4 linked regions of the Drosophila melanogaster genome follow. The protein of the gene in region 1 purifies or fractionates together with the protein of each later gene. This does not show direct contact. Each region holds a gene or a part of one and is shown in the gene's direction. Other genes may lie near its edges.

The links.
Region 2: the proteins of Prx6c (region 1) and CG11267 purify together in Drosophila melanogaster (affinity purification with mass spectrometry, with the first as the bait; one large-scale study listed by BioGRID). This does not show direct contact.
Region 3: the proteins of Prx6c (region 1) and p23 purify together in Drosophila melanogaster (affinity purification with mass spectrometry, with the first as the bait; one large-scale study listed by BioGRID). This does not show direct contact.
Region 4: the proteins of Prx6c (region 1) and eEF5 purify together in Drosophila melanogaster (affinity purification with mass spectrometry, with the first as the bait; one large-scale study listed by BioGRID). This does not show direct contact.

What each region holds. Positions count from the first base shown.
Region 1 is NT_033778.4:10,414,843-10,422,626, forward strand, and holds Prx6c (peroxiredoxin 6c), read left to right. Parts: upstream 1-3,875; 5' UTR 3,876-3,962; coding exon 3,963-4,045; intron 4,046-4,107; coding exon 4,108-4,482; intron 4,483-4,545; coding exon 4,546-4,621; intron 4,622-4,684; coding exon 4,685-4,813; 3' UTR 4,814-4,919; downstream 4,920-7,784. Other genes in the region: CG11825 (uncharacterized protein), read right to left, coding at 5,859-6,205, 6,261-6,324; CG33474 (uncharacterized protein), read left to right, coding at 7,391-7,784.
Region 2 is NT_037436.4:13,012,497-13,020,075, forward strand, and holds CG11267 (uncharacterized protein), read left to right. Parts: upstream 1-3,553; 5' UTR 3,554-3,665; coding exon 3,666-3,668; intron 3,669-3,860; coding exon 3,861-4,022; intron 4,023-4,090; coding exon 4,091-4,237; 3' UTR 4,238-4,407; downstream 4,408-7,579. Other genes in the region: MICAL-like, read right to left, coding at 1-2,641; mRpL20 (mitochondrial ribosomal protein L20), read right to left, coding at 4,697-4,853, 4,908-5,116, 5,180-5,266; Icmt (isoprenylcysteine carboxyl methyltransferase), read left to right, coding at 5,885-6,124, 6,192-6,563, 6,692-6,979.
Region 3 is NT_033777.3:9,675,102-9,683,259, forward strand, and holds p23 (p23), read left to right. Parts: upstream 1-2,825; 5' UTR 2,826-2,968; coding exon 2,969-2,985; intron 2,986-3,460; coding exon 3,461-3,547; intron 3,548-3,618; coding exon 3,619-3,875; intron 3,876-3,941; coding exon 3,942-4,135; 3' UTR 4,136-4,557; downstream 4,558-8,158. Other genes in the region: Nepl12 (Neprilysin-like 12), read left to right, coding at 451-1,563, 1,623-2,618; nmdyn-D7, read left to right, coding at 4,980-5,108, 5,173-5,339, 5,398-5,565, 5,616-6,315; CG9444 (uncharacterized protein), read right to left, coding at 6,421-6,810, 6,869-7,174, 7,235-7,440, 7,503-7,777, 7,837-8,065. UniProt on the Drosophila melanogaster protein: Cytosolic prostaglandin synthase that catalyzes the oxidoreduction of prostaglandin endoperoxide H2 (PGH2) to prostaglandin E2 (PGE2).
Region 4 is NT_033778.4:24,054,108-24,062,160, forward strand, and holds eEF5 (eukaryotic translation elongation factor 5), read left to right. Parts: upstream 1-3,690; 5' UTR 3,691-3,795; exon of another isoform or gene 3,796-3,799; intron 3,800-4,376; 5' UTR 4,377-4,378; coding exon 4,379-4,584; intron 4,585-4,824; coding exon 4,825-5,026; intron 5,027-5,088; coding exon 5,089-5,160; 3' UTR 5,161-5,175; exon of another isoform or gene 5,176-5,231; 3' UTR 5,232-5,376; downstream 5,377-8,053. Other genes in the region: ppk29 (pickpocket 29), read right to left, coding at 1-36, 92-228, 300-645, 705-766; CG13563 (uncharacterized protein), read left to right, coding at 1,364-1,412, 1,466-1,527, 1,583-1,782, 1,846-3,376; RpL12 (ribosomal protein L12), read left to right, coding at 6,431-6,467, 6,569-6,642, 6,706-6,886, 7,043-7,248; RpL39 (ribosomal protein L39), read right to left, coding at 7,837-7,885. UniProt on the Drosophila melanogaster protein: Translation factor that promotes translation elongation and termination, particularly upon ribosome stalling at specific amino acid sequence contexts.

The sequences.
Region 1 (7,784 bases):
TCCTATACATATTGTATATATTAGCTTTTCCCTAAGATGCTACCATTATTTTAGCTATCTTAATACCATCTATCTAGATACTTGGTATCTCTAAACTACAAAGTTAAACAAACTTTGTCTCATATATATCAGTATTGTCTATATCAGTATTATATATATATATTGTCTCGCATATCAGATATATATAAAGATATTAAAATATGAAAAAAATATATAATATGCATTCCTCCGCGGCAATACACTTATTTTGCAGGTGCATTTTCCGCGCTTTCATTATCAACACTGTTGGCGAGGGGATTTTCTTCGCGTCTTTGTTTTTCCAGGTCTTTATTATTCTTTGGCCTATACAATGTCCCGCAAGAAGTCGTCGCCAGTTGTCTTTGTTGTTGTTTTGCTTGTTGTTGTAGCGTTTTCCTTTGGCTTTTCCTTATTCCACTTGTGTTGTTGTTGTTGCTGTTGCACAAGTATTAACCAAAGGACCCCGGAGCTGCTAAACAAGACGCATCCGCGGAAAACCCAGCTCCCCCCTCCCCCCGCCTACCATTTTGCACTCGTTATTATTATTTTCGTTGGTTTATTTTTTTGTGACACTTGGAATATTTTATAACAAAAACTTGACCCGCTTTTCCAGGAGCGAAGGAAATCCGCATTTCCTGTCCCTTGCAACGCCACACACCTGCTCATCATCAACTGCTGACTTATTGTTTTCTTTTCTGGTTGTGTTTTATCATTGTACCTACACCACTCCCTCACCTTGCTACAACTACATACACACATACATACACACTCCAACTTTTCCTGTCGCTTTTCCACGTGCCTTTAATCCCCGTTTTTATTTTTTAACTTCTTTTCTCAGCTGCGCAGCGGCGCTTAATTAAAATTAACATTTCATGAAGTGCAAAAAAAAACACAAAGAAAAACATTCGCGGGGGTACAAATGACGCTTCCCAAAAAAAGTTTGCTTAATCGTTTCATTAATATTTAAGGCTTATGGCGGTCTGATCTGTCTAACGGTTTTGGGTCCCGCTGACTTTCAATTTAAATGCGATTTTACTCTTGTTTGTGCCACCTTTTGAACCTTTAAATAATCTCGAATAAGCTGTTAATTGTATTTAAATTCAATAGGTATTTTCAAAAAATACCTTAAATGGCGGGTCTGTATTATTGTGAAACTGTAGTTAAAGTTATTTTATTATTTAATCTTGATTTTTTATTTTATATATTTTTAACACTATTTAAACAATTATTTTTAACAGTGTTATTGCCCAAATGCCAACAAGTTTTTAAAGTCACATATAGTACGTATTAAGCTAATTTAATTTAAATGGGCCACTGAAATGTTTAATTGCCTGAACAACAAAAAGCATTACCTACCTACCAAACAATCCTTTAATTACATTCAACATGAATTACAAGAGTACCTTTAAATATTAATTGTCGGTCCGAAAGAGAACATTAGGCAAAGTAAACAAAAGCGTGTACATATGAATAATAACATTTGTGCCCACACCTCACGTGCGCATAAATTGTTGCTTATTTTTTTTTCTAGTTATTTTGGCGACATTCGTAATTGAATGCATTATTCAATGGGCACCGAGGGAGTATGTTTTCGTACCTGTTTTTTATAGCACTTTAACACTTTGATGGCCAACGGGTGCCAGCGGGCTTAAAGCAGTTGGGCCGGGCGATGTAAATGTCTTGGCATATTTTATGAGGACAGTTGGCTGGCAACTTTTCGCCGAATTTCGGAAAACAACTTTATCGTTGCATTTACCATTAGAGCTGGTCAAGGGAAAACTTTTACTACGAGGCGATCAGATCACTTGGGAAAACGCTCCGTTTGAATGGGTGGATAGTGTTAAAGATGATTTGTTTGTAGCCTCACATGTTTGGATTAGTTGGCAAACACACGCGAACGCACCGCATGGGCAAACAACACACAAGTGGAAAAGTTTTCGCGGACAAAAGTTTTCGCCGCCTGCCAAAAGGTGTGTGCACTTTGTCAGAATGCTAGTTTACTACGAACGGCGGTCCCTAGGCTCAAAGTCGGGGCGATACGATAAGACAAATATGTCAAAAAACAGTTTCGAGGACCGTTTACCGTTATGTTTCGACCGCTCAGCTACCGCACGCGCGCATCGCTAAATTTGAACTGAGCCGGAGCGCCAAAAAGCAAAGCAAAGCGAAAGCAAAGAAGGAAAGCAGAAAGGAAAACATGCGGCGTGGGCGATTGCGGTGCTTATCAAAATCAGCTGTTCGGAAGCTGACTTCAAGCGTTAGCTTTCAGGCGCAAAAGCTCTTCCTACAGTCACCGATGCGAAAATAGAATAGCTTTTGGAACACTAATATCAGTCTCAAGTTGAGACTCTCAGCCAAAATATTGGTTGACTTACATTTGTAAGCCATTTTGTTAATGCATCAAGCTGGTAAGCAAAATCGTCTGCTGGGGCATACTTTCAGGCGAAAACGAATATTTTTATACATCCTTTTGGCGGCGGGTTTCTTTCTGATGTTTTTTTAAATGTAACATATTTATAAGGATTAATATCAACGATATGCGCGGCCAAATTGAATTCTTGCGGCTATAAGTGAAAATCCTCATAAGTTTTAATTAAGAGAGGTAGTCAAAAAGAAACACATTTTCTTACATTGTTGTTATTGTTTTGTTCTTATTATTAGGGTTGTTTTTTAAACAAGATAATTTGTGAGCTTAAATAAGCTGGGTTACAAAATATCGAATATTTTTAAACTAATTTTATTAATTGTTATTAATAAGTAGGTCATTAAATTTTTAACGATTAAAACAAATTCTATTTTCGGTATCACAAAACTGATAAGTAATGGAAAATTACTACAAAACGTTTATTATAGAGACGAAGGTTTCTGAATTCTTAGATTAGACCTTATAACTAGCACCCTCTTACGAATGTACTAGTAACTTAGGAAATACGATCGAGCTATTGGAAGTGAATCCAATTTTGTTAAAGATAACCCACCTCTAAATAAATTTAACACTTGCTGCATTTTGAATATCCATGATGACTATATCTTTTATTTTAATTTCAACCATCTGAATCCCATTTGGGTACTGTCTTCTGAGTTAGCGATCTGCCCATCCGACTTTCCAAAACCCATTCGAACTATTTGTGTGTTTTACTGAAAAAAAAACCTATGCTGGTGTGCTTAATATTCGATAGACCCACGCACACAGTCTCATGATTTCACTCGCTCTTCACTTTCAATTGGAGGCTCGTTTTGTGTACGTGAACGGGAGAGCCGTGCGATCTATGGAAGTGTGCGATTTTTGGAGGCACTCACAAATACCATCACACTGCTCGGCGCTCTCTTGCTCTCAATATCCGCCTATCGATGTGGCTGTATGTTTGCAGGTGTTGGTGCTTCGCCTCTATTTACCAATACCATTTAACATTTAAATGCTCTCTGGCTCTCTGTTTATGTTTGGAACCGGCTTATCTGTCAGCTGGACCAGATCAGCTGTTTGGATGTTAGATGCTAAAGGAGTTTGCGCCTATTGGACTTTTAAAATGAGATTAATGAAGAACCAAATAAGGAAAACAGTACTTTATTCTAAGATACTTCCAGAAGCATTTCGTCTCAAAGTCCAAATTATGTACCACGTTTTGTAGAGGCCCCTGTCGAGTTTCACACACATGACACCATGCTCAAGGTTTCCCACTCCCCCCACCAAAGCAAACTACTCCACAATCTGTTCAGTATTGTTTTATAATCTGTTCACAGAATAATATACTACAAACAAACACGCGCGTTGAGGGAGCGCCCATTTCCTATCTCTATCGCACCCGCTATTTACGTCGATCACGTTGGGTATAAAAGACAGCCAGCTCTCCCAGTCAGTATTCAGTAAGCAACAAGTGTGCGAGCTAAAAGCAGCTACCAGTTGAGCAACTAAGTTTTTTTGAAACTAATAATCAAACAGCAAGATGCGTTTGGGACAGACCGTACCTAACTTCGAGGCCGACACAACCAAGGGGCCCATTAAATTCCACGAGTGGCAGGGCAACTCGTAAGTGCCATCAAACCCTTTTTCTCTGATCGAATCTTACCAATTCTTCTTCGGATCGCCAGCTGGGTGGTGCTCTTCTCTCACCCCGCCGACTTTACTCCCGTCTGCACCACTGAGCTGGGCAGGATTGCGGTGCACCAGCCGGAGTTTGCCAAGCGGAACACCAAGTGCCTGGCACATTCCGTTGACGCATTGAACTCGCACGTGGACTGGGTGAACGACATCAAGAGCTATTGCCTGGACATTCCCGGGGACTTCCCCTACCCGATCATCGCCGACCCTACTCGCGACCTGGCCGTCAGCCTGGGCATGCTCGACGAGGAGCAGAAGAAGGATCCCGAGGTGGGCAAGACCATCCGCGCCCTGTTCATCATCAGTCCGGACCATAAGGTGCGCCTCTCCATGTTCTACCCCATGTCCACTGGTCGCAACGTTGAGTAAGTACCTCTTTCGGGCTACAACTATTGTTAATCTCAACTGACGATCCTTTAATCTTACAGCGAGATTCTGAGGACCATTGACTCCCTCCAGCTGACTGATCGCCTCAAGGTGGTGGCCACTCCCGCCAACTGGACCGTAAGTTTTTCTACCCACTTAATGCGAACTGTTCCGAACTAATTAATTCTGTTTCATAAACAGCCTGGCACTAAGGTCATGATCCTGCCCACTGTCACCGATGAAGAGGCTCATAAACTCTTCCCCAAGGGATTTGATAAGGTATCCATGCCGTCTGGAGTAAACTACGTCCGCACCACTGACAACTACTGACACAAAACCGTTCCCCATTTGTGATCCATTCAATAATGTGCCGTATTTCCTGACATATACTATATACTATGTGCAGTTCATTTATTTAATAAAAAATTATTTTAACAAAATATCCAAACTATTTTAATTGATTTAATGAAAGAAATTTTTGGAGAATAATGTAATCCAATCAGAATTAGGGGAGTTACTGCGATTTTGACGTTCTTTTAGATTGTATAATGTCTGTTTTTTATTTCCTTGCGGATGGTATAGTGATTTTAATCTATTGATGTATTTCTATTGCAGTTGGTAAATAAGTCAAAACTGTATAATATATACGATGGAATAATAGTGAAAATGAGATGGTGTACCTTTTTTGACAAATTATTTGGTTTTTTATTTTATCAAAATCGTAGTGTTCTTATTCGGAATGCATCAGTTTTTAAAACCATTAGTCGTAGAGTAAAAGGATATACTGGGATTTCTTAAAAAGCATAAAACAAATAAAATGATGCCTTATCGACCATATGAAGTATATAAATTCTTGATCATGATCAATATCCGAGTCGAGGCTGAGCTGTCCGTCTGCATGAACGCCTTTGAAATTTATTCATTTTATTATACATATGTTGAACTTTCTCGTTCGCACTCCCACTAGCTAATTAAAGAGTATCTGATAGTCGAGGAAATTGACTATAGCGGTTTCTCTTGTTTAAATATAACATTACTCCAACGGAATATGAATCATAAATGTCATAACTGTAAGTGAAGTGTTTTTTGGTAGAAACATTCTTTATTGTGTACGCTTAATAGTTAACTAATTTTAACTAAGATTAAACCTGATGGCTAATACTTTGCAGAACTTTCTTAAATTCTAGAATAATTTGTTCTACCATTTCTGATTCGATGAAGGTGGTGGGGAGGTAGGCAATTTGATGCTGTTGGGAAAATGAAATTAATAGTTGTTCATTCAGAAATTTCGACAGATGTACTTACAGTTTAATTAACGGTCACCATTTTATGTATGTATTTTTGGTCTTTGGCCGATGATCCTACTATATCTTATTTATTCGTCTGGCCTGGTATTGCTTTTCGGTTCCTCGTGGAGCAGGTACTCCTTGGCCATGGTGTACGCCAATCCGGCTGTCAAACATCCAACGACGGTTCCCTGGGCAGCCACACGCAACTGCATCAGAAAGACGCTGGTGCTCATGCTGCCTCGGTTCCGATATTTGTAGGCTCCAATCAAACCTGCGGCCACGAATCCGGCAATACCCACCAGCATAAAGGGGGACTCCTTCACTTTTCGGGATAACTTGTTTGCCTGAGCGACATCTTCGTCGGTTTCGAATAGAGAATTGGAACTCATTTTGAATAGGTTAGAAAACTTGTTCCCTCTTCTTGTTAGTTTGCCTGATAATTGACAACTGAATTCCGAGTGAAAGAGATCCCTGGCTTTTATACCCACTTGCTTTGAGACGATCAGTGAGCGAGATAGCGACAGTGTTGTTTTCACTGATATGTATGTACATACATACCTATGTATATACACCGATATAATGTACAGCCGTGCGGGCAAGGCCTCCCTGTTGCGAACGCCTCTATTTTTGAATGTTAGCATGCATCAACCTCGTGAAACTCGGGACTTTGTGATGAAATTCTAGAAGCTGCCTCAAAAGTACAGTACATCTAGTTTATATTGCACTATTATTTTCAAATAAGCCAGAATTGGTGGCTAATTTCCAAAGTTGTGCATGCAATCCAAACAGCTGATCCAACAGCTGATCATTTTCCAAAGAGTGTGGGCAGTGAGCGAGGAAGAGAGCGACTCGCCGCATAGTAGTATTTGTGAGTGCCTTCAAAAATCGCACACTTCCATAGATCGCACGGCTCTCCCGTTCACGTATACGAAACGAGCCTCCAATTGAAAGTGAAGAGCGAGTGAAATCATGAGACTGTGTGCGTGGGTCTATCGAAAATAAACACACCAGCATAGGTTTTCTCTCAGCAAGTCACACATATATGTAGATCGAATGGATTTTGGGAAGACGAATGGGCTGAAAGATAATTTAGACGCAAAAAGACTGTTCGCATGAAGAGACACATTGCTTTGGAGTAAACATGGAGTAGATTTAAATAAATAGTAATAATAACATATTAAACTGTGATGCGCCAAGAAATACGTATGGAAAATCATGCAAGCAATAAAATGACTCAAAGTACAGTCTGTGCGTTGCCTTATACACATTTTGTCGTAATTTTCCATCGGTTTCTGGCTTGTTTGTCAATAAAAAAGTGAATTTTGTGGATGAGCGGAAAAGGCAAGTGATGAAGGAGAGAGATGCGGAGGCCACGCGAATGTTGGTTGGCTGAAAGATTAGCGTTGGTTAGGGAATGATGGAGGAGGGGTAAGCAGTGAAAGAGAGTAAACGGGCGAGAACGAACCGGGTCAGATCAGCGATAGCCACACCCAGAACCGAATAAATCGAATTTAAAATTTTGTTATCGACATCGGACGAGAGTTGGGCTATTTGTTTCGTTTTCGTTCAGCCAATTCAGTGTAGATTTTCTCTTCACATAATCCGGTAGCATACAATTATGGCAAAGTTTATAAATGAGATCGGTGAACTTCTTGATTCCTGTAGAGCCCGAGAGGTTTTGATGGAGGTATTATGCCAAAGTGCCCAATTGGTAATAGGATACCAAATCAATCAGAGTCCAGACCTAAACAATGTGGGTTCAGAAGACTCTGGGGAGCCACCTGTGCTTCGGTACACTGTGGACAGCGAACTGCACGACTATGAACCAGATCGCATTACGGCTCTATTGACGGTGATGTCAAATACGGTGGATCTGCTTTTCTATCCCGTAGACACCATTTGCTGGCTGGCCAGTCACAAAGTTTTCGATGTCAAAAAACAGAAGACCTGGCGCTTTGTGAACTCGTTACTCAGCATGGTCTCTGCATACCTAAACGTCGTGAGAATTTCAA
Region 2 (7,579 bases), on another chromosome or scaffold:
CTCGTATCTCATGCTCTATGTCCGCCTGCTCCTGCTCCAGGCGATGCTGACGTCGAAGGTACATCAGTTCCGCTTGTCTGCGGAACAATTCGTTTTTCTCGTTGACCAGCTCGAACAGTTGCAATATAAGATCTTCCACTTCCTTTGAGTTGGTTAGCACTTCTGCGGATTCGGGACCATCAGTATCGGTGGCATCTAAGGAACGCTCACAGCGATCCCTGATCATTTTCTCCAGAATAACGCCTTGTTTCTCAAGACCCAGCTGCTGTACCGCAATAATTTCGAACTCGTGGCGAATTTCTTGCAGCGGAAGCCTTTGTAAGACTTTGCGCGGTGGTATTGGAACCGCTGGTGCTGGTCCCTTTCGCCTCTTCCATTTCCCATGAGTGGATTTATTGTGCCCCAATGGGCTTACGTTTCTATCGAAGTCGTTATACACGATAGGCGATTTTTGATCCTCCTTGCTACGTTCAACAGTGTTTTCGGGTTGAGTTGGCGGCACCAAAATGCGTCGGTATACCACATTTACCTCCTCGTCGGCATTGGATGTACTTAAGCTCTCGTCGTAATTACTCGACTCGGTTGCCTCATCGGATAGCAGACTCTGGTCAAGTGGTATTAGTCTTCTGGTTGAATCACCCAGATTTGGGGCCTTAAGCTGAGTGTGCAACAATGCCTTTTGTTCGTCGGACAATTTTGAAAATCCAGGATCACTGTCAAAGTCCGTTTGTATTGGGGGCAAAGGTGCCTGGCGCTTCTTCCGCATCGGAGAGGTAATAGAGCTAAGACTGGTAGTGGGACTCGATTCTTCGCTTCGCAGCGGACTCCCCACTGAGGCGCGAAGTGGCTTGCGAGGCCCATTTGCAGATGGCAAGGAGATGCTTGAGCCACGGTCATCTGCTCCGCGATCGAACGTTCTTATGCTATTCAAATGCTCCGAAGACGAAGAGGAAATACTACTTTTCTGGCCTTGATGCGTCATTGGTTTTGCTGGAGTCTGGGTTTTTGATATAGATATTCTCGGTGTTGGCATCGGCATTTTTTTCCCATGCGAAAGTGTAGGGCTGGAATGTGGTTTCTCTGACGGATTGGAGATGGATGAAAGGCCAATTTTAGGTGGCGGTGGACGGGGCGGTACAACTTTTCCTTTGCTTTGTTGGGCTGGAATGGCTTTAAGAAGCTCCACTTCATCATCAGAGCTGTCGAATGGGTTGGCACCTTTAGATGAGTCATCATCTTTAAAGGGATTTAGATCCTCTGGATAGTCAGTTTCAGATGCTTTTGTCTCAATTACCTTGTCCTTGGGAGACTCGAGATCCATTTGTTTTGGGAGAACACCTTCCTGCTTAGAGCAGCTTTCTGTGTTTGAGAAAATTTTATTTTCTTTACGCGGGCTTATATGGTCTTCTGGTTTAATGGCTACTTGAGTGTTATTTTCAGGAATCGGTGCTTCCTGTGATTCTGGAATGAGTGCGTCTGATGTATTGTTCAAAGCTTCTTGTTTATCTAAATTATCCGGATGTATTGCATCTACAACAAGGCGGTCATCTTCAAGATATATTGAGACCGAAGAAATCTTAAGTTTCTCTTTTGGAATGTCATTTTCCGGACTAACCGCCAGATCATTGTTTTGTTCAACGCCAGCATGTTGTTCATCGTCTAGTGGAAGAGTAGAGACTTTTGGTTTCTCTGGTATAGCGGGCTTTACAGGAGTTGTTGATTTATTATATTGTTCAATAAGGCCACCATCTTCTTCGTCTAGTGGAATAAAAGAGATTTTACGCTCCTCTGATAATATAGGGTTTACCGGATTAATAGTTAGTTCATTATTTTGTTCATCTTTGTTGGACGGCGGTTGGAAGTTTTCAGGCTTATCAGTAGTACGTATATCATTATCTTCCAGGTCTTCTTGTTTATCTTCAGCTTCAGAGTAATCAGAACTTTGTGCCACCATTTGTTTATCATTCGGAGAATCAGTAGTGGTTGTCTTTAACTTTAAAATGTCAGATTCCGGTTCACTTTCTTCATCGGGACAAGTCTCGCAACAGTATATGTTATTGACCTCCGTTTCATAAAAACTCCCGGGTGTGAGCAATGACGAACATCTTGCACATTTTAAGCATGTGCGATGATAAGCCCGTTTGCCGACAAGGACCCTTTCGGCGAGAAAAACAGGAAGGTTGCATTTCTGGCACTTATCACGTCGAGGCATCCCAACAATGTGCATCACCTTTTGCGGTGGCTCACTCTCTTCGCCAAGTGGCTCCTCTGGCTTCGGGTGCTTCAGGCTCTTGCCGAGCACCTTGTAAAACTGGGATAAATACGTTAGTATGGAGAGTCTATCAGGTACTTCATACGAAACCATGTCAGCTGCATCGAGCAGTGCGGGAATTCCCAAATATTTCTCGGCCGTTGTAAAGGCCAAATCGTTGTTCTCATAGATATCGTCTGCTTTAAGTCGGTCGAAATCTATAAGATCCGGCCGAAAGTGGTGTATTATGGCGCAGAAGGCAAGTCCATTTCGCCAGGAAGTGGTCATGTTCTCCACCTTGACCCCATTATATCCTTGGGTCACAACTCGGCACCAATACTCCAAAGCCTTCGTACCAGTTCCAACTTTTGTGCCACGACGATCAGACATTTTAGTGGGTTAATTGCTGGCTTATTGGCGAATATAACTAAACGAAAATAGCAGTCACAAACTGTAAACTAAGTGAACAACAAAAGCACATCGTGCCACTTGACTTGAGTAAAATCAAATAAGATTTATCTGGTACAAATTACATTAAATGTAAACAAGGCAAAACGGTGACTCAAATAAATCTCCCAATCAGATTTAGTGGTGGGAGTGTCAGCAGCTATCGATAGTTGTTTCGTGCTATTTTCCCTTCTTAAAAACAAGATGTTTAGAAAATTCTGAAATTTTTTAATTTTTCTCAGGAATGCCACACTTTTCAATTATTTTGTTGCTTGTCTTTATTGTCTTGCACTTTGCAACAGGGTGTAGTGTGAACAATCCGCTGCCAGAGTCAATCGATTTAAATCGCTAGTATCAATAGCAACTCCTTGGTTTGAACATACCTAATTTCGAGGAAGTAAACAAACAATTCTGTTTTATGTTTATTTTATATTATATTATATTTTAATATTAGTAAATTTGAAAAAATTAAAACACCAGTAAAGCCCAGAAGATTTCTGGGCTTCTGATTTAATTTCTTAAAAAACGATTATTTAGCTCAACAAAGATGAGAACAGAAAATTGCACAACATGTTTATTATAAATTAATGGAAATTAAATTAATATGTTTAAATTGCATATAAAAGGAGTAATTCCTGAAATTGGTATACAAGTTATTATGGAAGTCCACCCACCAGACTCATTTTCATCTTCATGTTTTATAGGAAATCAACTCGGCAATTACTTGGCGAAAAGTTTATTACCATTTTAAAAGTTATACACAACTATTAATTTTTGCATTGACTTCTCTCAGTGTATTCGAACAGAAAAAATTATTTCTCAATGTTATATCCGTGAAATAGCCTGGTCACACCGACGATAAGCAGTCCCGCATCTAGCGAGAATAGTTACGCCGGCACGTGTAGTTGAGTAAAAAGTTCACTCATTAACTTTTATCAACCGCTCCAGTTTGCATTTAAGAATTAAAATGGTAAGTTAAAAGTGCATTGCCCCATATGAGGTTTAGAAGACAGTTTGAAATCGAAGGATGATATCGGTTTTTCGAGAAGGTTCCACGGCTTTCGGTCCACATCCCATTCGCCGGGCTGTTGTGTAATCAATGAGAGAAACATGAAACATTGAAACATGGGTTAATTGTTGGGTCTTTTTTAATGATCCTCAGGCCGCCGCTATCAAGAAGATCATCCCCATGCTGGACCGCATCCTAATCCAGCGTGCCGAGGCGCTGACCAAGACGAAAGGAGGCATTGTTTTGCCGGAGAAAGCGGTGGGCAAAGTACTTGAGGGCACCGTTCTGGCCGTAGGCCCTGGCACCCGTAATGCCGTGAGTATTTCGCCATTATCAATGCAGAGATGGTCATCTAATCACTGAACATCCCACTTCATCCGCAGTCCACTGGCAACCACATTCCCATTGGCGTGAAGGAGGGCGATCGTGTTCTGCTGCCCGAATTCGGTGGCACCAAGGTGAACCTAGAGGGTGACCAGAAGGAGCTGTTCCTCTTCCGCGAGTCCGACATCCTGGCCAAATTGGAGTAGATCTCGCCTCCGGACACTGTCTCACAATTCTATGAATTCTATGCTTTTTATTAGTATGTAACACACCCACAAACCCGAAACTAAAAACTACAATAAAAGCTCATGCAATATTTTTGTTTGCATTGCGCATGGACCGTCATTGAATAAATTTCGAGTTACTTGTTAAAACTAGCAGCACAGGTGTTTTGTCATTAATCACATTTGTCATTTTACTCGAAAAAATATTGGATTCATTCGCGGAAAAGGTAGTTGCAGTAAATAAATTAATGATTTAGTATCAAATTTCATTCAGCAAGCAGAAGTTACGAATTATGTAACTAAATGTAAATACGAATTCGGAGTTAAAAACTAATCTAAAGAACAAATCCCAAACGATTTTACTCCCTTCAAAGTGAAAATTAAAGATTACACGTTTAAAACATACAAATATCTATATTTGAACTCCTACTTAAGGCTATGTTAATCCAACTTCAGGTTGCTCAGTCCATAGACCTGGTTAAATGCCGATCTCCGTTTGATGTCTGGCATTCCCTCCACAGCTGCCCGCTCTCGAGAGATCTTTACTAGAGCTTCAAAAGATCGCGGCTCCCAAATGGCGAGGTCGGATAGGACTTTTCTGAAAGATGTTATAGGTTGTTAAAGGATATGGGAATTTTCCGGTGGTACCCACTTGTTGAGCAGAATATCGGAGCGCGCGAGGCCCTCTTTGAAGGTTTCCAGACCTACTCCATACTGCTGACAACCCGCCTCCACGCGTGTGCTCCACAGTTGCGCCATGTCCAGTTTCTTTAGCTTTCGCCCCTTGGTGGCATAGGCCAGTGCCCTATGGACACTCCGGATGGCGAAGGAGTAGACATTGCGAGTGCGGCTTCTATAATGCTGCAGAAATTAAGCACTAAGAGCTCATTATTTTTATTGTGGCCACGATATTCGGAAACATACCGCTGCCAGCTTGAAGATGCGTCTCTTCCGCCAGAATTCGTCCGGACCACGGGACCGTACCAGCAAGGGAAGGTTCAGGAAGACCATGGCTTGATATTAACAGAATATCGGTCGAGTTTTTATATATTTTTAATTGATCTCAACGACTCTACTTGTTATTTTACATAACCTGCACGGCGCTAAAATGAGCATGTTATCGATAAAATATCGATGCAAGGCGTGCAGTTAAGAAATTTATTTAAAAAGGTATAGGTGAATACCTACAAATGTAATTCATTTAAGTTACTATTAAATTTTTTCTGACTATATAAAATTAAATTAAATCCTCAGAACTCGATATGTCGATATGTAACAGTGCATAACTATCGCTTATTGTTACAGGGGGTATAGGCTAAAGAGAATTGCCCGCATAATTTATTTTTAAAACCATTTTCTGCTAAACGTGGTGTTAAATATTTATTTATTTAATTTAATTTATGATTTATGATTTATTTTATTAAAAGCTGTAAGAATTATATTACTGATTTCTATGATAATCACGAGCCTATACTTTAGCGGTTATTCACTGTGCTGCCTATCGTTATCGAAAGCTTTGCCGGTTTATTTACATTTTGGCGCATTAAACCAAGCAAATGTTTTAAAAAACCTCAATTTCCGTGTTTTTGCGCACAGCAGCAGCACAAAAAGAATCCCGATTCCCCAGTTATGTGTGCAAAGAGCCGAGTGGCTTCTCCTGGGGCCGGTGGCACCAGCCTGTGTTCCGAAGGCCGCATCAGTTTATATTGCTTTCTGATTACTGCAGCTCTAGTCCTGATTCCCTCGGTGCCCCAGAATCTTTATGGAGTGGTGCCACAGGTGTGGGGCGCCGTCCTCTGGGGTCCATTTTTGTACTACGCCCTTATTAACATGATCATACGGTTTGTGCTGCGGAACCACGACTACCAGGTGAGTCAATCGATGAGACGCGATAAACCTTATCAGTGCTATGGCGCTAACTATTCTTGCACCACAGGTGGCCATTAGGGCATCCTTCCTGGGCTTTGCCATGGCCGTGAGTGTGCTGGTCATCTGCTTTGCTCCCACCGAGTGGCAGCAATTTGGCGCCTACGGATGCTTCATGTCCCTTTTCCACTACTCGGAGTTCCTCGTTATCGCCTTTGCCAATCCGCGCACTCTCAGTCTCGACTCCTTTATGCTGAACCACTCTGTGCACTATGGACTGGCGGCGGCAGCCAGTTGGATCGAGTTCTCACTAGAGGTGTACTACCTGCCGCAGTTCAAGAGATACGGATACATTTGGGTGGCGGGCGTGGTCCTGTGCCTGCTGGGCGAGATGGTTCGCAAGGCAGCCATCATCACAGCTGGCCGGAGCTTCACTCACTTGGTTAGTCGTGATGATTTGTTAATACATGGACATATAAATATTATTGCACTTAAGGAATTATCACACTATTATTAATTAAAACTAACTAAATAGCTTGTAAACTTCTCATCACACATCTATTCCTACAGGTCCAGAATGAGAAACACTCGGAACACAAGCTAATAACAAGCGGGATCTACGCCTACTGCCGCCACCCGTCTTATGTCGGCTGGTTCTGGTGGTCCATCGGAACCCAGATCGTGCTATTGAATCCCATCTGCATATGCATTTACACACTGGTCAGCTGGCTGTTCTTCCACGATCGCATCTACGTCGAGGAGTACTCCCTGCTCAACTTCTTCCAGTCGGACTATGTGCGCTATCAAAAGCGGGTGCCAACGGGCCTGCCCTTCATCCGGGGCTATCTGGTCGATTAGTGCCTCTGATCTGGGGTTCAATGTCACAAGTCGCCATGGCAAACAAAACAAAATTCTATTTTAGGTTTAGGTATACAAGGTATACAGCAGTTCTCTTTTGTATAGCAAAAAAAAAAGATTTACAAGCACATTGTTTTTTCCAAATAAGTTTTCTAATATTTAGCATGTTGTTTTGTATTCATAAACTAGTCAAAGCATGTTGCTGAACTGATAATCTAATCTTCTTTTTTGGGTTAATTGTGAATTTATGGGCCGCATTAGCAAGCAAATGAAACAGCTGCGTGTTTCACAAGTTTTATTTAATGTTTAACTCGTCTATCTATCGTTGTTGATAATCTTATCTGCTGATGACTCCTCGTTGTAACTTTGGACATTGTAGTCGTATGCATTATTCTCCCGATTGGTATCTTATACCATAAATGGATAAGAAACCCAATAAATAAAAGGATGAGGAAATAAACCTCCTTTCACCTCTTATCTGAAAATCAATACAAAGATTTCAAGTTGTACAAAATGTTGACTTTTGTGTCTCGCTCGCGTGTCACTTTTGTTTTATTATCAATTTAAATTCGAATATTGCTCTATCTATAAGACACAAGC
Region 3 (8,158 bases), on another chromosome or scaffold:
CCTGTTAACTAAATGGATACACCTGTTAACCACCAAACCAACAAACATTGTAAACAAACTCCATGTTACCAAGGCAACATAGCTAAGATGTTAAAATATCAAAATACCAAGTCAACAGTATTATTATCATCTGTTAACCACCTGTTACTCCGCTGTTGTTATTCACCCGATATTCACTTCCTTTCACTTTCGTTGCAGATAACAGGAATTAAATTTGCAAAATGTAAATACTAAATATCAATAAATATCTCTTATTTGTATACAGATTGTAAACAAAAACTTACTCGCTTCCTTATCAACAATCCGTTGCACATTCTACTGATAAGGGTTTTTTATATCTCTGTATTATTGCTCTCTTGATTTTATTGGGATTCTGCCAGTTTTCGTTCGCGATTTAAATCAGTGTGTTTTATAAGTTCCAATTGAGAAGTGTTCCCATAAAATACGCATATGTTTCATGAATCACTGAAGCTGATCTCCCTGATGCTGCTGTGGGTCATTGTGGCTGCGGTTCTGACGGATTGCGAGGCCAGGAGCCTTGTGGACAGGTCCGAAAATTCCGATAGCAATGGTAGCTCGACCAATAGATCCGCGGCAGAGTACCAACTGCAGGAATACGCGGAATTCATGAAATCCTATATGAACCAAAGTGTAGAGCCCTGCGAGAATTTCTACGAGTATGCCTGTGGAAATTATCGGAACGTAAAGCCGGATCGGTACTCACCGGGCAGTAGAAGCAACCTGGGCGACGTGACTTACACACTGATCGACATCACGGAGCAACTGCTGGGCAGAATGGATCTGGCGGAGGCTCTAAACGTATCCAGCGAACTGGCGGTGGCCCAGCGATTCTACAACGCTTGTCTGGGAGCAAATCTCCATCCTTTCAATGCGGCGGATCCCGCTTACTTGAGTCTAATTCGATCGATTGGAGGATTTCCCGCTGTGGATGGAGACGCCTGGAAAGCCTCAAACTTTAACTGGATCAACATGAGTGCTCATCTGGCCAACTATGGCGCCAACGGTCTGATCCGCGAAACTCTCCAGTTAAGGTATCCCTTTGAGCCCTACACCAAACTGCCCGAACTGGGCTTCGATCACATCATCGTACATGAGGAAAACATTTCCAGAAATACCACACGCGCCTTTCGCCTGAACGAAGAGCGAATGCACGGATATCTGAGGGCGTTCGGCTTGCCGGAGGACAGGATTAGGGAGGCCATCGCTGGGGTCTTTGCCTTCTGGCGGGACGCACTCGAGATCCCGCCCCAGTGCGAAGTGTTTGATCCCTACCGAATTAAGCGAGTGTTTCCCCAATCGGAGTACTACTATAACATCTCGTGGAGTGGACTCCACTCCACTAACAAATTATTCTGCGACTTTTACTACGTTGAACTGGACAAAGTATGCGCCCGACATCGCAAGGCTGTGGCCAACTACCTGGCCATGAAGCTGCTCTATAGATTCGATCCCAAACTGAAGGCGCCCAGGTACCAAAGGAACTACTGTTCGGTTACGCTTTATCAATCCATGCGGTTTCTGTTCAACAAACTCTACATGGCTGTGGGTAACGAATGCGTATGATGAGAATACCAAATAATCTCAACACTCTTGTGTTACAGAACAACTTCAGTGAGGCGAAGAGGCTGGAGATGTCGGAAATGGTGCGGGAACTGCGAAAGAGTCTGCGAAAGGCGCTGGAGGATGCCGATTGGCTGGATGCGGAGAGCAGGGCGAGGGCACTGCTTAAGGAGTCCAGAATACAGCCACGCATTGGTTCGTTCCAAGATGATGCACTTTCGGATCGAATAATCCGGGAAATCAACAGTCTGAAAGTCATCGAGGATCGCTATGCGGAGACCAACATTAATTTGCAGCACCTAGTTGTACAAATCAATCGATTTAGCAGTCGGCATTTTCAGGAGCTGACCAATGACACCAAGCCACAGAAGATCCTGACAGGATTGCAGGTTGGAGCGGGCTACTACACTCCGGACAACTCCATTAATGTGATGGCTGGCGTGGTGGAACCACCGATATACCAACGCCACCTGCCGATTTCCCTGAAATTCGGCACATTGGGTTTTATCGTTGGTCATGAACTCATCCACGGCTTCGATACGACCAGCTCCTATTTCGATGGCAATGGTCACATGGAGTCCTTGTTGTCGGAAATTTCGCAACAGGCATTAGAGGATCGCGCCGAGTGCTACATGGACTACTATGGCAAGTACCAGGTACCGGAGATCAGCAGGCGTGTCAACGGAAAAACTACACTGGACGAGAATATCGCAGACAATAGCGGATTAAGACAAGCATTGACGGCCTATCGCAGTCACAGGCAGCAACTGCTGGAGCATCCTGGGCAGGAGAGGATAAGCGACGCCATGCCGGGTCTCGATCTCACGCCGGAACAGTTGTTCTTCCTGGGATTTGCCCAGCTATTTTGCTCCCATTACGAGGAGGAGCACTACTGGAAAGGTCTTAGCGATGTGCACACCTTCGACCAATTTCGTGTCCTGGGAGTTTTGTCCAACAGCGAGGACTTCTTCCACGCCTACAACTGCTCCGTGGGCAGCGGCATGCGTCCTGGCGCCAAAACGTGCCGACTTTGGTAGATCATAGATTTATAATCATCATCATAAATTCCTTGAACCAAATAAAAGTTGATTTCAATACTTTTTACCGACAATGTAAAATGTTTTGACACAACACTTCAAATTTACGTTACACGTAACAAGCTAACATTTGTGGTTTGAGTACAACTATCGAAGTTTCGCACCCCAGAGCACCGTTCAAATTTAGTCACATCTCCGCAGCGCGCTCGGTAACTCTGTTTCTCATGTCAATTTTGTGCATGACAATTTTGTTCAACAGAAACTGCCTTTTTTTGTAACCAAGTCAGGCTGTCAGTCAGAAGTGTTCCGACTTCGTAAAACATAAACCAACAATTCACAGCAACAACATAATGTCGGCAGCAGCAGGGTGAGTCCACAACCGGCCATCTCAGTGCCAATCGGCGATAGCCGGACCATCTTTTTGTGGCTTCTTTGTGCGTCGCGTGCTTTGTCGTTGCGGCGGCGTCCATTTTCGAACTCCCGGCCGTGAAAAACACATAATTTTCGTTCGGATGACCCTTATTCTCGCGCTCATCCGCCTGGCCAAGCGTTTGTGTCCACGGTGGGCGTGTCCTGTGCGCATCTGCATTGCGATATTTGTGGAACTAATCGGAGGGTCCAGTGTTTGAGGTTATGTTTTCGGCTGGCGGTAATGCCGTGCATTTTCGGCATGGACTTTTGCCTGGGCTTATGGTTTATGCAAATCTAGCTAGCTGGGAAGCTATTTACATAGTTCGTGCACCCGCTTCCAGAAAGTCCGACGCGAGTTGCCATGGCAACGGATCTCGCACAACGACATGAAGCTCTTATTTATGTTTATCCAACTTGATCCTCCATTGCAGCTTGATTCCGCCTCCAGTTTCCTGGGCCCAGCGCAATGACTTGATCTACGTCATCATCGATGTCGAATGCAAGGACATCGAACACAAGTATATGCCCCCATATGTAGTATGTCCATGCTCCTTGCACATCCTAATTCCATATATTTATCCCAAAACAGAGTTACGGAAAAAACCTTCACCTTCAAGGGCGTAAACGTGCTGGATCCGTCGAAGAAGTACGAGGTCACACTGAACTTCCTCCACGAGGTGGATCCCGAGAAGGTGACCAGCAAGAACATTGGCCGCTGCCTGGAATTCACAATACCCAAGAAGGCGGCCGGTCCCTACTGGTCCTCGCTGACCACGGACAAGACCAAGTTGCATTTCCTAAAAGCCAACTTTGCCAAGTGGCGCGATGAGTCCGACGACGAGGAGGGTAAGTTGACATCCTCATCCCCAAGATCTCATCCAGCAAACCCACTCATACAAACGCACTTTGCAGGTGACCAAAAAGACAACAGCATGTTTGGAAATTTCCTTAACAGCCCTGGTGGCGATTGGAACAACAAGTTCGACGATTTCAACGTCGATGACGAGGAGGAGGACTCGGATGACAACATCCCAAGTCTGTCCCAGAACGACGAGGATGACGAGGAGGGCGGCGAGGGTGATAAGGAGAAGAAGCCAGCTGCCTAGACGGTCGCTCAGATGGTGTCTCGCAATTTGGCGTAGTCGTAGCGTTAGGCGTGGCTCTTATACCATAAGTCAGCACACGATCACAACACTCACTCCTCACATACACACCAGAAAAGAAAAAGAAGAAACACTCAATCACTCATAAAACATCCACAAACGCATGCGTACATGAAACACTATTCCAATCGAAGAAAACCACATTTAATATACCTGAATATTATGCGTATTCAGAGGAGAGATGTTAACAAAAAGCAACACAAGGAACAAGATGATTTGGCGCCGACAAGGGAAACCATAAGTTTTACGCTAGAATTTAACAACCAGAGGAAAGCTACAACCAATTTATTGCAAAAATCAGTTTGCAGTTTATTATTTTTGTTTCCTGTAAATAAAGGAAATTAACAATAAAAAAAATGAAAAACTTATATTCGGCTTTTTATTTTCAATATTTTATAAGTTTACAACATTCTATAAATGTTCTAGAAATCTCTAAACTGTTAAATTCGGAATGCGCAGTCCAGCTTCTTAAAGATGTCGCAAAGAAGGCTTTATCTTTGAATAGATAGCGATTTTAAAAAGAAATTATAGGTAATGGTTAAAAATTGTTTATGGGTAATCCCCTAGAATTTGGGTTTAAAATTAACATAGGTATTTTTTTCTTTAAATTTTGCGCCCACTTAAATGAATTTTGTTATGTTGGCAACACTGTTGCTGTGACAACGCGGGAAAGAAGAAGCACAATTGAAATGCAAAGCAAACAAACAGTTATCACTCGAAATAAAGGACTTGCTGTCAAGCGATAGAACGGAAAAGCAAGGTATAAGATTCCCCTCAAAACGATACCATGAAACCCGCTGCGATTCCGGCTAGCGAGCGGCGTCTGGCCTTCGTGGCCGAGTGGTTCCATGCAGAGGCTGGAATCATACGCACCTTTCTGATCACCTACTATGTATCCGACAAGGCCGTGGAAGTGGTGAGGATTGGTAGCACAAGTTCTTCAAAGAAACACATTTAACCAAGGCCATGTTTTCCCTCAGTTCGACCAGCGCAACAAGCGCACATTTCTGCGACGCACCAAGATCCCGGAGCTGACCCAGCGCGACTTCTTTGTGGGCTCCAAGATCAATGTCTTTGGCCGGCAGTTTGACATTGTGGATTATGCTGACGACACTACGCGGACAAACCTAGCCAAATATCGCAAGAAGTATGTTCCTTCATCGACAGCTATCCACTCGCTAATCTGTAATTCCCATCTCTTTCAGGGGATTCGTTTTGCTCAAGAACAATATGTGGACGAAGCACCTGGGCAAGTTCCTAAAGACTCTGATCGACAACAAGATTAACATAAACCAGGGCATGATGGTTCAGTTCTCTCCCAAAATGGTAACTCAGTTTCTGTCCGGCAAGGACACGACGGATGTCTCCTCTTCGTGAGTAAAGATGGCATGCCAAGGAACACATCTTATCCTCTAAATTCCAGAGTCCTTATGAACGAGCTGCTGGCTGGTCCGGCCATTAGTCTGGAGCTAATCGGCGACAACGTAGTGGAGACCATCAAGGCCTGCGCCCAGTACAAGAGCACAGAGGCGGAAACACCCAGTGTGAAACTGTCGCCCAGTTTGGAAGAGCTGTTTGAAAGTGAGGAGATTCGTTATGGATTTTACTACTCTGATAACGACAACGACGTGGAAATGGACCTAAAGTTCATATCTGAGGCGAGGCACAGCATAATTAAAGAATGTGTATTCAAGAATACAACACTTGCCATCATTAAGCCGCACAGCATCAAGGATGGTCTCCTGGGAGACATCATTTCCGAAATCCTGTCGAATGGCTTTCGGTTGACAGCCATGCGCATGATTCTAATGGCCCGAATCAACTGCGAGGAGTTCTACGAAGTCTACCGCGGAGTGGTGCCCGAGTATATACCCATGGTTGCTCAGTTGGCCAGTGGAGTATGCATGTGCATGGAGATTGCTTGCGCCGATCCCGAAAAGAAAACTGATCGCGAGTTCCGCAACTTCTGTGGACCCATGGATCCGGAGATCGCCAAACTGTTGCGGCCTCACACGCTGCGCGCCAAGTTCGGCAAGTCCAAGGTGCAGAACGCCGTCCACTGCACTGATCTGCCAGATGACTCCAACCTGGAGCTGCAGTATATGTTCAAGATAATCGACTGATCTTAGTTTAGTTTTTATTTGTTTTCAGTTAAATGCATGTTTGCCTGTGTGCGTTTATCAATAAATTACAAGTGCAATGAAAATACTAGACCGTAGAAACTTCTCCTATATGCTCCCGCTGCGGCTGGTGCTGGGCACATCCCGGTCCTCCGCTTCACTGTCCATCCTCACATACATTCCGGCCTTGCGCTCCTGCAGAGTGTAATCGAAGGCCAAAAGGGCATAGAGGATGATGCAAACTAGCATTACCACCGCATAGAAGAAGTACTCGGCCATCTGTGAGCTAAGCATACCCAGCTCGGTGACCAGAACCACGATCAGATTGCCGAAAGCATTATTTAGAAACCAGGCTGCCGTGACCACCGACTTCATAGAGGTCGGTGCTTGGGTGAAGGCGAACTGGAGACCCGGAATGGAAAGCAGTAATTCGCCCATCATGAGCAGCAGGAACTGGGGCAGTTGCCAAGCTATATTCACTGTTTGGGGCGGGGAATTCTTCGAATATTTCGGGTTAATAAACGATCAGGTGAGGTATCTTATTATTCCTGCTTACCTTTATTCGTTCCTGCAAGGCTCCTGCACAGAAAAAGGCGCCGGCGGAGAAGATCCCACCCACAGTCACACTATGGAGCGGCTGGAGCTCCCAGTTGAAGTAGCGGCGCAGCAAGGGCACTGTTATATACTGCCATAGAGGGATGAGCATGAACAGAAAGATGGGTCCCACGGCCTTGGCCTGATCCGGCTGGATGGTCACGCCCATTAATGTGGTATTCATCTGGGTGGCCTGGAATGTCCAGCTGGAATCCTGTTGCGCCAGCAGAGCAAAGTAGAAGGGCAGTGGGATAAACAGCTTGGATATCTAAAAGAAACGAAATTATGAAGTTGAAAGAATCTTCATTATAACACAAGTATAACTGACCCTCAAAACTCTGGACACATCATTGACGAAACCCATGTCGTAGGCTACAACTGCATTGTGTAGCCAGTAGTTGGAGCGCTTTGTCGACTTGCGACGTCGCCACTTCTCCACGAGAGCGGTCTTTATGCAGCCGCAGAACTTGAAGAGTATGTTGTCATCGGACAGCTTTTCGGACTTGTAGAACCATTTTCCAACCAGAAAGATAACTAATACCACAAGCATGCGTAAATTAAATAGAAATAAGCTATGAAAACTGATAGTTACTTACACCAGGCCATCATAAAGGCTGCGCCAAGGGTGCCGAATACGGCTGGATAGCATTCCGCCTTGTCAAAGCACTGCGTGTTAGCTCTAACCAGCGGCGGAAGGATCTTGCTCAGGAATATTCCAAAATAGTAGACGAAATAGTAGAAGGAGAAGTACTCGGCCAGATGGACGCTCTGCTCCGGCAGCTTGAACTGCAGTGCGCCCAGCGAGGTGATGCAGGCTCGTATCGATCCATTGCCAACGGCGATAAACAGCAGAGCGATGGACACCAGCAAGCTACGAGTCGCAAGTGGAATAAGCTAAATCCTTCATCCTAATCCGTTGCGAGTACTTACACCATCGGAAGACCCATGGCAGGCAGGGATGTCAGTGTGAGGAGTAACCATCCAAAGGCGTAGATAAAACTGAAGCCGGATATCGTGCGCACATTGCCGATGTAGCTATCCGCTAGGATCGCCCCAATGATCGGACAGAACTGGCCAAAAAAGTTGAAGATGTGCAGCACCACCGTGGAAAAGCTCTCCGTGAAGTTGAGATCGTCGCGCAGATAGAGTGCGAGTACGGCTGGAATCGAGTATACATCGTAATCGTGGGTCAGGCTGCAGTCAATCTCGAATTATTGACCATGAAATAAAGGTTGTAGCATTGAGACTTAAT
Region 4 (8,053 bases), about 14 Mb from region 1:
GAAGAATACCTGAGAGGCATTTCTTCGATGCTGTCACTGGAGTAGGCATTTATTTTATTCGCGATTTGAACTACTAAATATTAACACTAACTAGTCCAATAGATTGTTCGCCAGAAAGCAGTAGCCCATTTCCGTCACATGAAACTTGAATATCTCCTCGCAGTCTGTCACCAATTCGCCACGAAAGTATATTTCTTTAAAGCATTCAGTACAATTGGTTGGAAACATCTAGAAGTGCAAATGGTAATTTAGTTCAAATATAATCCAAAGTCCCCCCCCCCCCCATGCGACACCGACACCTTTCTTCTTATATCCAAAATATTGAAATTGTACGGGTAACTTGTATTCTTGGTAGGCTCCTTCGTAAATATGTTGTTGGGGTTGAGAAAAGCATATTCGTATATCATTCTTGTAAAGGAGAAGGCAAAGTCTTCCTGAAAATACTCCCGCATCATTGCCTTGAATTCGTTAAACGCTCGGCTTTTTGTTAAGCAGATTCCTATCGATGGGAAGGTGTTTATCCAGCGACTGTAGGCGGTCGAGACCCCTATTGTCGTGGAGTCCGTTTCGTATCTGGTTTTCAATAGAACCAATATGGAAACGGTGCTCCATCCAGAAATGCCAATCACAAAAATCCAAAGCAGCCTGCAAAGAGTGATGGTTTTGCGAACCGTAGACAATATCCTCGAATCGCTGACTCTTACCCTTTATTTTCCACAAAAGACCTTATAAATCCTCGAAAATTCATTACTGACTTCCGCCACATTTCGTATTCATGAAATCCTTTCCACAATTTCTTCGTGACTAATTCGAAAATATATGATGTCCATCCTTTATTTAAATACGGAGGGATGCACGCAAGTTCTGATGCAAATCGAGCGTGTCGTTTAGATTAATGGAGAGATAAGAAGAAAACATACTCGTAGCTTTGAAATGCAACTGCATACTGCACGCAATGTTCAGATGCACTAATGGGTATCAAAGATGCGAGGGAATCGGTTCGTTGGGCTGCGAAAGTGTGCATACCTTTTGAAAGTGTATCCAACTATATAGATGCAACAATTATAACTGAAGATGGGCTTGTCCAAGCGTTGCGTTTTATGCTCCATAGCACACACGCCACCATTTGGATGCAGCATCTGGGCACTGACTTGGCAACAATCATTCACTCGGGAACCTAGGCGGATAAAATATAATAAGAAAATTAAATGCACATTTACCACAAGTGTGAGTGATCTGGCAAATGCATATATCCCTGAAAAGTCGATCATCTCTTTGATTCCCAGCCAAGTAGCAAGTAATGTGGATGAAAAACCAATGCTGCTAGTCTTGAACTGTCTGCAGCCAAAATCAATCGCTCAAGATGCTGGGGAAAGTGAAAGGCAGCATTATTGTCATTTACATGACCACTGGTATGGAGGTTAAAATCAATAAATTCGAATTAAGCTCACCCGCTTCGCTTCAGGACTGCTGTACATACTGCTGAGCATAAAGTCATCCGCCAGCTACATGAGGCCAAAACGCCAGGTAAGCATTCGACGCCAGGAAAAGCGAAAGTATGAACGCCCGCATCGACTTTCAGATGTGGCCCGTGGATCATCCAGGGATCGTCCTCTATAGACAGCACCCGAACGCCATGCGAAAGTTCTACTGGTACAACGCTAGGACCCCGATCCTGGTGGGCAAAATGCGTCTAAAAAACTACATGCGCAACATGCACATGCTGCCCCGATACGTGCCCTCACCTGTCCAGTTCCACGAGGCCTATGCGAACTCGAAGAGGTCTATATCAGCGCACATATCATCCATTTGTGCATACGTATAATCATAGTGGATTTCTTTCAGGAGCATCTTCAGGGACTTGAGCCAAGTGAATGGGTTCAAGAGCACACTCCTGCCCATTGCTACTTCCACCGTTGACTTCGTTGCGGCCCCGCTCAACACGATTGAGTACAGTTCCCCTCCGGTAAACGCACCTATTGGTTTCAGTTCAGCCCCAGTCAACGCCTTCGTGCCCCTCACGACGGGAACCCTTCCGAGCGCAGAACGCCTCATTGGCGCTCCGAGTCTGTGGAACCACTCCGAAACCCACGCCTCCAACGACGGCTGGAACAAGTGCCGCGAAAACTGCCTCCAGATTCCGTTCCAGGAGTATGCCAAGGACCAATACAGCTCGCAGAGCAAGACCAGTGACCTGCCGGTGACCACGACAACCACTTTGCCCTACTTCAACTACGTTGCGCACACCTACTTCACCCTTGACGACGTGATTCTCCCCCATTCCGCATCGAAACTCGGCAAATCTCCAGCACAAGACCAGCAATTTCGGCCCAGTCACCAAATTCTCACAACGGAAAGGCCCCAGGAGCTTTTCACCGAGCGGTTTCAGCACACCACGCCGCCTCCAACTACAACAACCACGACCACTGAATTCACTTTTCCGGGGAAAACCACTGCTTTGGAAATGGAGTACAGATATAGCACCCGACCAAGCTGGTTTAGCCCCACTACCTCCAGCACCACAACAACCGAAGCTGCGGCTTCTGAGGATCCCCCGAAATGGACAACTCCGCAACCCGCTCAGAACGTCTATTCCACGGCGAATGTTACGACAGGATCCTATAAGCACAGACTAAAATCCCTGAAAGCGACCAAAAACTTCTCTTCAAGCATTGAAACTAAACTGAAACTTTTGAAGCTTCATCTTAAAAACCTGGTTACAACTAGGGAAACGCCGAAGAACGTTCAGAATCTAACGACTACAGCTGTTCTTGACAACCACACCACTTTGGAAACGACTACAACAACAACTACGCCCACACCGCCAAGAAGAAGAACAAACGTCAATAGAAAACTGAGAAAACTGCGAGTTTTGGCATCGACCAAAAAGGTTCCGGTGCAGATTTCGAGAAATTCTACAGATTCCAGCAAAGCCATGGGAGAATTCAAAAAGAGTTTACCGAAAAGAATTTACCAACGGCGCAAGCACTTGAACTCCACTGCAATGCCAGAAGCCGCGAAAAACACAACAGCTGATACCGATATCGAAACGATAAAAAAGCTTAAGCGCCGAACAACAGCAACACCCCGGAAATCGACGAAGGTCGATGATAATGTTATCGTTCGAAACGCTACGCAGGCGATAAGTCACACTTTGGCAAAATCTCGCGCCGATGGTATATCAGAAGAAAAACACGCTTTGGTCACAGAATCGGCAATTATGACTATTTCCAGTGGTACTTTAAAAATGAGGCAGCCCCATATTAAGGCAAGGTCAAAGCCGCAAAGGTCCAGAAAAATGTCGCACCTGGAAAACGATAATTTCATACCGTCGTTGCCCATTGAGGTTTATTTTAAAAAAGTAAATCAGCAGTAAATTGCTATAGTCTTCGAGTCATGCGTATACATTGTGTAAATGAACAGAGCAAACTAAAGTCTTAACCATTATTTATACTTACAGAGACATTTTAAGCACCAAATACATAATAAAACAAAAAATTAAGTGTTTACTTGCAACATACATACATACATACACATATAGCTTATAAATAGTTGTTTTCAAATTTAAGACTGAGTTGGCAGGCCATTGTAAGTTTGGCGAAAATACGGCATCGGCCTTATCGTTCCATTCCCACAGTTCCTAAACTGGCACAGCGACCGGTGCTGACAATCCGTGTGCTAAGATGCAGCACTGTGCGTTTCTTATTATTGACCGGAAACAAAACGTGGGTTTGATTCGATAGCAGGGTTCTTTCATTTTACATCTTCGGTTGGAACAGTCACTGGACTTTGCAAGTAGGTTAGTAATTTCGCATTTTTGTGTATAAAAAAATTGCAAATTCGCCGGAGAAGCGGCGGACGACCTAAATGGCACTTACAGCCGGAGGAGACGGTCAAAAACGGCTTGGAAGCCAGAATTAACCTCCGGTCATCTCGGCACATTCAGTAATATGCGAAAGAAAGTGCTTACACTCACACAAGCACACATACACACATACAAGTGCAAAAATGCAGTACACAACTTTCAAGTGCCGTGTGTCTCGATGACTTTGCCAAATTAAATGTTTGAACACTAAAGTGCCAAGTGCCTGGGTATGCAATTTGGCATATGACATTTCGGATACATACATTTGCCGACACATATATACATACGTATGTATGCATTTTTTCGGCTTGCACACACACGTATTTACATACATATGTGCGAATCCGTCTGTGTCTGTATGTACCCATAGAACGCCGAGGTATATAATGTGCTTTCAACACCAGCTAGTGTCTTTGTGCCTAAGTGTAAATGCATTCAAATCCCAATTAATCGGCAGTTAATTAAATAGATAAATAATTAATTCAATCACATCTTGTGTCTTGTGCGGCAGATATGGCTGAGTTGGACGATCAATTCGAGACCACGGATTCCGGCGCATCGACGACCTATCCCATGCAATGTTCGGCATTGCGCAAAAACGGATTCGTCATGCTGAAGTCGCGGCCATGCAAGATTGTCGAGATGTCTACTTCAAAGACTGGAAAGCACGGACACGCCAAGGTTCATATGGTTGGCATTGATATTTTCTCTAACAAGAAGTGAGTATATTCGCATATTTCTTCCTATCTGGTGGCAGCAGCATTTGCGGAGAACACAAAGGAAGCGACGCGCTGCTCTTGAATGTAATCAACGAAAAGTGTGCGCAAGCAATCTTATCTTGGACCAAAGTTATCAATAAATTTATGGAGGAAAATTAGAGTTCAACGCGGCGACGCCACCTCAAGCCAAATCCAGATCCTCTTACTTAACGCCTGCTTTGTCTATCGTCGTCTTTGCAGATATGAAGATATTTGCCCATCTACTCATAACATGGATGTGCCCAATGTCAAAAGGGAGGACCTTCAGTTGATTGCTATTAGTGACGATAGCTTCCTTACATTGATGACCGAGAGCGGAGATCTGCGTGAAGACTTGAAGGTTCCAGAGGGCGAATTGGGTGAACAATTGCGTTTAGATTTTGATAGTGGCAAGGACTTACTGGTGAGTTTGCCTCGACACCATATTATTATTTCGCAGAGAATAATTTAATTATACTTTTTCAGTGCACCGTTCTCAAGGCGTGCGGAGAGGAGTGCGTTATCGCAATTAAAACCAATACTGCTCTGGACAAATAGGCAAAATGTGTCGCTGTAAATTTCTGTTGCATTTACATCTGAAACAAATTTATTCAAAGATGCTGTTATAGGCTAGTTGGCTCTACATCTTAAATCTGGTTCTAACGATTGTAATTAATATAACAGAAACTCGAAGCATCATGTTTGAATAACTAAGTAACAAGATACACGTTTGCCAATAAAATTTTTTACCTAAACGTCATCCGTAAAACTATGATTCTCCTGTTTTTCATTGGGTTTAAGCTCTTTATTTCAGCAAACTTTATTCTAATTCGCACAGCTAAATGGGAAAAGTAAACAAAATGTTGGTCTGGACGCACGAATGAATGGCGTCACTTAGCATTGTGATGGTAAACGGCGGGAACCAGATGGGGTGACGCTACCGGTTTTGAATGGGTACAAGATGAACTTGTATTATTGACAACGCTACTGAGCTTTGCTACACCCCATTTAAAAGTGTAGTGTATCCTGAAAAAGATAAGGTACTCGGATATAGAGAATGGAGGAGGCATATTGTTTGAGGCAGGTCGGAATTTCGTATAGTACCAATTTATGTATGTACATGTACATATGTACGGTTTAAATGCCGTTGTTAAATAACATTTCAACATTGATGTACCGACTTTCGGAAAGGTCAAGTAAAAGTACAAAAACAATAAAAACAATTTTCATAAGTTGTAAGATTAGAAGAATAATCGATAATTTTTTAAGCCAAATGCCAATCAATCGATATACCAATTGTCTTGTAAATCGGTTTAGTAAGTTGATAGAGAAAATTCAAATAAGTATTTCTTCAGCTAGCAGATATAAATTACTTGCATAATCATAAATAAATATTAGATTGAACTAACAAAATTGAACTAACTGAACTAACAAGAAGATAAAAATATTTACAACGACCGCTATGAAATGTAGTTAAAAAAATGTAAATCTGAATTTTAATTAAACTTAAAATATATCAACTAGTATTTAACATTTTCAACAAAAAAAAAAGATTTCTTAAAGCCTAATTTCAAATTAAGAATAAATAAAAATATAAACTCATTACACTCGTTTCAATTCCGCGTTCCATTCGAGACACTTTTTATTCCGATAGCACTGGGCGATACATCACTTGCAAACGGTCCTCCCGGAAATCGATAGCTTCTTCTTTCTTTTTCTGTGTGTCTTTTTTGCGGTAAAGTACATGAGCTGAAAATGTCTCAAATAAAATCGGCGAAAACTAACGTAATCTTTGCCTTACAGCGACTGTTCAAGCCAAGATACCGCTATGCCTCCCAAATTCGACCCAACGGAAGTTAAATTGGGTAAGTAAGCGAGTGTTTTTGTGAGGAGTTGAGCTTCGAGCAAACCGTAGTTTATAATAGAGGATTATCTTCAATAACGAATTTCTGCACCCAAATTACAGTGTACCTGCGTTGCGTGGGCGGAGAAGTCGGTGCCACATCCTCCCTGGCCCCAAAGATCGGTCCCCTCGGTCTGGTAAGCATGCAAATCGGTTTGTTTACTTGTGCAATTCGCGCTAACAAAAGTGTCTCTCTGTAGTCGCCCAAGAAAATCGGTGATGACATCGCCAAGGCCACCTCCGACTGGAAGGGTCTGAAGATCACCGTCTGCCTGACCATCCAGAACCGACAGGCCGCCATCTCCGTGGTTCCCTCCGCCGCCTCGCTGATCATCAAGGCTCTGAAGGAACCCCCACGTGACCGCAAGAAGCAGAAGAACAGTGAGTATTGCCCGGCAATCCTGGACTGGACTTCCAATGCCTGTGCCGGGCTGTGGTGGATAATGAGGAGCTTTGCTTCCACCGCACTGTGCCCACATGCACTGGATGGTTCTGTGCTTGATCCCCCGATTAACAGCAGATATTCTTAATTTACAGTCAAGCACAGTGGAAACATTGGCTTCGAAGACATTCTGGCCATCGCCCGCGTGATGAGGCCCAGGTCCATGGCCCGTGAGTTGAAGGGAACCTGCAAGGAAGTTCTGGGAACCGCCCAGAGCGTCGGCTGCACCGTTGACGGAAAGCACCCTCACGATGTTATTGACGAACTGAACGAGGGCTCCATTGAAGTCCCCGCGGAATAAACAGTTTTTTAAACAGAATTAATAAATTGTACGCGATACAGTCTGTAATAATTGACCCAATCGGACAGAATTTTACTTTCGAGCTCAATGCGGCCGTGAATGCGATTTCAGATAGGCTAGCTAAATGTTAAACAAGAGGAAAACTAGAAGTGCATAATATTGCATCAATTCAGCAGAGTAGATTTGCCAATTAAGCAACGCAATAGGAAAATCTTTCTTAGTTCGGTTTAACAGTTGAATTCCTATTAGGCAGAAAACAATGTGCAGAACTCTTGCATTGTTAAAACAATTATATATTTGGAAGGTCTTTCCATTAAATGAGAAGTAAACAATTCGCACATGCCCCGCAAAAAGCACATGCTTGATAAGAAAGTGTTCAGTTTTCGTTACTGGAGAATGCTTTCGGTCACATTTTCCGCCTGGGTTTCCTGCGTTGCATTTACGAATGCATGTATGCCACCCCTTTCCCAAGATACAAATAAAAAGAGAGTATATTTAATCCGCAAATTGTAGACGAATTTATTATTTCATATTCTCGAAAAGATCTTCAGCATTCCACAAAATTGCGGAACTCCTGGAATCAACAGCTTACAGCTTCAACTTGGTACGCCTCCAGTGACGGCGCTTAGCGTTGTAACTGAAAGAAAAAGCGGAAAGTTGAAGTTAATATTAGAATAAGATTATGTTGCACCAATGATCTTTATGTTATTAAGAATATTAAAAATAAGGTAGTGACAGTACACTCAACAATTAAACGCACTTGCGTTGGGATACTTTGCCCTTACAAAACTTTTGCCACTGCAAT